Xenopus tropicalis: one gene and its partner. The protein of the gene in region 1 interacts with the protein of each later gene in a pairwise test. Links are inferred from orthologs where the notes say so. Each region holds a gene or a part of one and is shown in the gene's direction. Other genes may lie near its edges. The genes, in order: dzip1 and ppp2r5a.

Region 1 (3,830 bases):
GGCTTTTCACTCTACTGTGCATGCGCGCGCAAGCAAGGAGGAAGCAGGAAGCGCCAGCAGCTGCCCCGGGCTGGTGCTGTTCTCTCCGTACGGGGGCACCAGCCCGGGGTACAAGGTAGGCGTTCTAAGTCACTTGGGTGACTTAGCCTTTCCTTCTCCTTTAAAGGGGAAGGAAAGTCATTTTGGCATTTTACTGCCAATAGATTTGCCACATTAGTGCCACCTAGAACAATAATATTTATTCTGCAGAAAGTATTGCCATACCTGAGTAAAGAGCCCTATAAGCTTTCTCCGTTTGCTTAAGACAGCAGCTGCCATTTTAAATAGCTTTCTGTTTGCAGTCTAGCCATTATAGCTCAGATCACACATTCCTAAGGGAGGAGAAAGACAGTTCTTAGCATTCTTATGGGAAAGGGAAGCAGGAGAAGGGAGAGAGGAGAGATCTGTGCAGACTCTGGCTACGGGAATTAAGGATTTTTCTGAGAAAGAAAGTCAGACACCCAAACATCATGTTTACAAAAAAAGAGACAAGAAATCATGTGTTTCTTTTGATAGAGGACTCAACGCAGCGTTTCTGTGAGTGCTTATGGCTGTATTTACATAGACCTTTCTGTTAAAGCTTACTTAGTTTAGTTAATACTAGTACCAGGTTGTAACGTAGTTGTATTAATAGGTCTATAAATAAGGACCTGGTGGGTCTGGAATACATCAGGTGTATCCTGTCTATATACATTGCCGCCTCAAACTGTTTTAAATATTTTTGTACATATAAAAGCTGTGTTTAAAGGAGAAGGAAAGGTAAAAACTAAGTAAGCTTTATCAGAAAGGTCTATGTAAATACAGCCATAAGCACTCACAGAAACACTGCACTGATTTTTCTGTCAAAAGATAAGTTGTGTCTGTTTTCCTCTGCCAGAGACATGCAGCTCTCTGCTTTATGCTCTCTCCTGCTCCCCCTCCCTCAGGAATGCTAAAAACTCACTCTCCCCCCTTAGAAATGTGGTTCTGAGGCAATCAGCAGCAAGCTGACTCATAGTCTAACTAACTGAGCATGTTCATTTGGTCTGGGTGTCTGTGCAGGAGTGAGGCATTATGGGAACTTTCTTTACAGAGCTCAGCATTTTTTTCTTCCTGTTTGGCTTCTGATCATTTTTTTTACTGTTAAGCTAGTGCCACATAGGGCTGATTCTCGACCTGCAGAAAATTGAAGGCACCCGGAAGCATTGTCTTTGACCTGGTGCGGGCAGATGTGGCGTATATCAGCAGAAAAAAAAAGAGTTCGCATTTCACAGCCGATATCCACCACATCTGCCTGCACCAAAGCAGATACAATGCTTCCGGGTGCAGGTAATGTAAGAGGCTGGTGCCAGCGTAGGGGCTGATCAGCCCTGTGTGGCACTAACCTAACAGTGAAAAAAGTGGTATAATGTGACTAATGCTTTATCATTGGGATTTTCAGCAGCCATATGATGAACATATTTACAGCAAAGTTCAATTATATTTTTGATTATATTAACCTTTGAAATTATATGAACAATACATATTTACATACATATGTTATGAAGATTTGGGTTTAAGCTCTTTCTTTTCTGTGTTGTGTTTTAACAAATGTAATTTTTTTAGTTTCACGAAACAGGACATCGGAAATCATTTGAACAAGAGATGCTAAAAAAGTTTAATAGCTGGAAAGAGGAAGAAAAAGAAAAACATGCTGAAGAAATAGCTAAAGTAAAGGATAAGCTTCAGAAAGAGGTTACAGAATTAGCTGTGAAGAATGCCTCTTTAGGAAAAGTAAGTGGGGTTTGCCTTTACACTTCTCTACTACTGGAAGTTATAACTGCACCAAGATGTTCAAGCATACTGAAAATGTTATAAATATTTGAAGATTTGTACAAACAGTACAGTCTTCTGTACTGTTTGGTATTTTTTTCTGCTGTATCTTGTTACAGGGTTTTTTTTTTATCTTAGGTAAAGGAGCAGTCTATAAAGCTGACACCTCCTGTTGCTACATATTCAGGTAAGTAACTAAAAAATATAATTACTGTCCAAGTTAGTTGTAATGGCCAGTGTGCACAAAATTCCAGCTGTTATTTGGCATTTTACAGTGCCTTGATGCAGGGAGTTAATACTTAGGAACTTCTCCAGGCCACTTCAGCAGTATGCTCTCATACTTCCATTTTATAAATAATTTCAGTATGTAGTTGTGTTTGTTTGTTTTTTAAATCAGTAAAATAAGAGCATTGATCAAGGGACAAAATTAGGTGAGGTTAGGCTAATGTTCCACGCCAAGAATAGTCGCCTGCGATAGATCTTTACCACAGCGGTCCACCAATCTCTCTGAAATGCCTTTCCACTGGCAACAACGGGACACGCCAATGGCCTTACGTATCACTTCAGTTTTCTGAAGTTGTGCAAAGTTGCCTGCATGAGATCTGTCGCAGGCGACTAATTCCTCCATGGGATATTAGCCTTAGGTTAGGTTAGGGGTTAATGTCTGGCATAACTTTGCTTTTATAAATATTGATGTTACCTCAATGTTAGCTAAGAAGGGCTGGACTAATAGAGACATATAAAGGCACCTATAGCTTAGTCATTGGTGAACCAGCATACCATTTTTACTAATTAATCAGTATGTATTTTGTAAGGTAAAAACAATATATTGATATGAGAACCCCATAACATTTTGTATTCAGTTATAATTACACAGTTTTAACTGCACAAATGATGTTAATTTATTACATCTGTGTGTTTAAAATGTATAGCAAAATTGTGGATATTGTTAACTAAAATTATTTTGCTCATTTAGAAATTGTACAAGCTCCAACACCACTGTCACATCACTCTGAGATAAAACCTAATGCATCGTTACTAAGTGGTAAGTGTTTTTTGGGGTTTTTTTTAACGTTCTTTAGGAATCATTTACGATACAGTACACAGTGTGCAGTCAGCTTTTTTTGCATTTTGCGCACTGCATTCTGCTTTTTAGGAATCGCCAAAACAGAGCCCAGAGAGCTGCCGCTTCTCTGACGAATACAGTCCGTCTTGACTGCGTTAGTCAGAGCTGTATTGGGGAGTTGGGAACACTTGCACATGCCCCACCTACTGCCCTCTAACTTGCATGTCATTTAGACATGCAATTATTTAACAGCAGGATGTAGAGGCCACAACAGTGCCCTGAACTTTTTTTCTGCCTTATAGGGGGCATGAAAAGGCCCTGCTTGGGTGTGCAAATAAGTGCATCCCTTAAAACATTTGTATGCTGCTCCACTAAGGCTCCAAATAAACCAACTGCCCAATTGTGTGTGGTACCTTTATTCAGTCCTATGTTTCAAAAGGAACACTGCAATAAGCACTGCACTGACAGGTATTTGATATTAAAGCTTTTTCTCTTATTGTGTGCACCACTCAGAATTGTTTGTTACACATAATAATTAGTCTGCACACATTTGTGTTTATATACTTTATTTTGCTGACTATTAGACAGAGCCTATATATTGGAACCTATTGAAGAGCTTACAGAGGAGGAGAAAGGTAACAGTGTGTAGTCTAAGCATGTATTTACATGACCTGTGAATTTTACTTTTTTGTGTAATGTTTGTTTGAGATGTCCATACCTTTCCTTTAATCAGGATATTCAGCAATTTACAGTCCTGCAGCTGTTTCTATGCAAACATTAAAGGAGAGGTGTGATCTCAATATGCATGATTCCAGTTCTTTTTAGCTGAATGGCTTTAACAAACACTTTACGCATGTCTTATGAATCCCAACCCAAACTGGCAAAAATCTGCACAAAACAGCTATTAAAATGGTAATACTGTTGTTGATGTTGC
Region 2 (3,262 bases), on another chromosome or scaffold:
CTGTTCCTAAATTGTTTTTTTGTACGGATATACTGTCAAGTTTGATTAAATTGTGAGCTTGTTGCTTTAATGTTCTCCCTTCTGCCTTATCTTACAGGTTATACGAGGATTACTGAAGTTCTGGCCAAAAACTTGCAGTCAGAAAGAGGTAGCTATATATAAAACTATTACTGCAACTTTAGTGTTACTATTAATACAAGGGATTTACCAGGTCCGTTATTTGGCCAAAGAAAGTACCAATAAAGTGCCCATAGCACATTACTCGAGCTAGCTGATCAAACGTGGAGCTATGCATATCCCTCTCAATATACAGCATTTCTAGCCATATTCTTCTTTTTTTTTTTTACAGTTTATTTGGGATTGTAGTTAATCTGAATTCATATAATGTACTTCATTGCTTCCCTTCTACTCTTTTTTTTTTTTTTTCCAATAGGTGATGTATTTAGGTGAAATAGAAGAAATTTTGGACGTAATTGAGCCAACACAGTTTAAAAAGATTCAGGAGCCTCTCTTTAAGCAAATATCGAAATGCGTGTCCAGTTCTCATTTTCAGGTGGGTAAAAGAGATACAATTTCCAATAAAGAAAACAATTGGTTAAAGGCCTGTACTTGAAATATTAGTCATACAGATGAACTCTTAATGGTATATTTGGAGTTGAGTGAAGCATTACCGGTGATGTGGCCCAGGGCAGCCAATCAGCAATTCAACGGTTAGAAAACCAAAGTAAAGCATCTGATTGGCTGCTATAAGCAACATCACCGGGTAATGTTTTACTCCACTTTTTACACAGCATTATAAATATACCCCTAAGGGTTCAGGGCTTTACCTCTGTAGGAAATAAAATAGAGGTACAAACCCAGCCCAATAATGGCTCTTAATTGCTGGAGGTGTAGCCTCTGCTATATTATATATATTATTATTATTATTATTATTATTAATTAAGTGTATATATTATTATTATTAATTATGTATATTATTAAGTGTGTTGGTGTTTGATCATTAGCTTGAAAGGGCTAAATAATCCTTTAGATCATGGGCTGAAGCTGTGATGCAATAAAGCTGGAGCAGCTGTGCCAGAGCTTATAGGATGTAACACTTCATTTGCAGCTCGGCTTCCTGAATCTGTATTTTGTGTCTCCCTGCCCAGAAGGATATATGTTTGACTTTTCCAGCAAAATGCTAATATTTCTATATACACTGAGTGATAGAGACAATCTGTGCATATATTGTGTAGCAGTAATCTCTCCCTTGGCAAGAAACACTTCCTTACGCTGCACTGGGGATGTTTTTCAGGTTGCAGAACGAGCCTTGTACTTCTGGAACAATGAATACATTCTCAGCCTGATTGAAGAAAACATTGACAAAATTCTACCAATCATGTTTGGTAGTTTATACAAAATCTCCAAAGAACACTGGAACCCGTACGTAAACGTTATTTTCTGATTTCATATATTTATTCCATCTAAACCCAATAATACATTTAACTTACTCCTGGATGTTTCTGTGAGTAATTTTGCATTTTACATTCATTTGATTTGAGATATTTCCATTTTTAGACCAATACCAGTGCAATAGACACTTATGGTTGCTGATACTCTCGAAAAACTGTTGAGCTGAAAGTCTGTCTAGCAGTATAAAATTGCTAATATCTCAAAAACCACTTGAAATAAATAATGAACATAAGTCACAAAGGTGCTCAAAGGACCCGTTAAAACCAGTTAATTTTATTTGGGTTACATTCCCCTTTAAAGGGCATTTCCACCCAAAAACTACTGTTAGCATTACATTTCATTATGCAACTTTTCAATATACATTAACAATCCTCATTGTTTTTTAAGGTATTTGTAAATGTAACTGCAGTTAAAGGAGAACTAACCCCTAAAAATAAATATGGATAAAAATACCATATTTTATATACTGAAATAATTTAACCAGCCTAAAGATTCAGCCTTTCTGTAGTAGTAATGATCCAGGCTTTCACAGTTGTCACATGAGCTTCCTGTCTAGGATTTTATTAGGAGTGTCAGTCACATTGCACATGCTCAGTGTGCTCTGGGCAGCTGCTGAGAAGCTGAGCTTCTCCTCATTTTAGCCAAAAGTCTTTTGTACATTTAGAGGGTGTGTGAAGAAAAATGTAAGAACAGGGTTGCCACTTGACTGGTTTTGAATACCGAGCAGGCAGTTTTCACCTGGACAATCCTTCCTATAACTGAGCTGTCCGGGTCAAAGCTGCCTCTCCAGTTTTCCAAATTAGGAAAAACCGGGCAGGAATCGATGATTGGCGAAATGCCGATCATCGCCCCTCTGACATCACCATCCCCTCCCCACCCCCTGTGTTTCACCGGCTGCCCGGAGTAAGGAGCCGGGTAAGGTGGCAAACCTACTGGGGAAGTGTGTGCAAGGTTTTTTGGCATCTCCCACTGAATCTAGTCGCTTCCTTCAGACACCAGGCCAGTGCTCTGCTCCCACCAAAAATGTAGCAGGCTGGTTACTTTTCTTCTCAGCGCCATGCTGCAAAATTTTAAAGGGCAACCCACCCATATCATATAATCAGCCCCAAATAGGGTTTTTGCTCACGATAGTCTGTCATGGTCTAAAGTGGCTTTAAGAATAGGCTTCCATAGAGGGAATTTATTCTGATAGTCCTGTCCATCCCTTTAGAGAACAACAGCTTAATGAGAGACATTATATCCGTGTTTACAGTAGAAAATACAGTTTAAGGGCTGTGACAGACGGGGAGATTAGTTGCCGCGCAACAAATCTCCCTTGTTGTGGGGGCGACTAATCTCCCCGAAATGCCTTCCCACTGGCTAGAATGTAAATCGCCGGTGGGATGGCATACGCGGCACCGCGATTTGCTGAAGTCACAGAAGTTTCCTCTCAAGGCAACTTTGGCAACTAATCTCCCCATCTGTCACAGCCCTAAGGAGTGCAATAAATGTTGTGCTGAACTTAATGTTTTTGGCCTATTGTTTTATTCAGTCAGCGGGATCTAAACAGTCCCAAAATACAAAGCCACAATTTCTGTAATGTGTCTATGAAGATTTTCATTCATCCAGGTCATGCTATATCTAGTATAAATAAATTTAAAGCAACTGGACTTGTTTGGTAGCAATGTAAACATCTTCAGTGATTACCAAACAAGTCCAGTTGCTTTAAATTTATTTATACTAGATCATTTCTGTAATGGCTACACACCAGCTTTCACGTAGCCCCACATTCAAATGACAGCTGCACACTTTTTTTTGTTTTCTTAGTGAT

What was found.
Region 2: the proteins of dzip1 (region 1) and ppp2r5a interact in binary tests that used the Homo sapiens proteins (3 or more experiments, as listed by UniProt). The link is inferred for Xenopus tropicalis from reciprocal best matches to the Homo sapiens genes DZIP1 and PPP2R5A.

The regions. Positions count from the first base shown.
Region 1 is NC_030678.2:122,328,419-122,332,248, forward strand, and holds part of dzip1 (zinc finger protein DZIP1), read left to right. Parts: intron 1-1,623; coding exon 1,624-1,791; intron 1,792-1,968; coding exon 1,969-2,017; intron 2,018-2,806; coding exon 2,807-2,875; intron 2,876-3,480; coding exon 3,481-3,531; intron 3,532-3,830. UniProt on the Homo sapiens protein: Molecular adapter that recruits protein complexes required for cilium assembly and function to the cilium basal body.
Region 2 is NC_030681.2:14,617,746-14,621,007, reverse strand, and holds part of ppp2r5a (serine/threonine-protein phosphatase 2A 56 kDa regulatory subunit alpha isoform), read left to right. Parts: intron 1-97; coding exon 98-148; intron 149-433; coding exon 434-553; intron 554-1,294; coding exon 1,295-1,422; intron 1,423-3,262. UniProt on the Homo sapiens protein: The B regulatory subunit might modulate substrate selectivity and catalytic activity, and might also direct the localization of the catalytic enzyme to a particular subcellular compartment.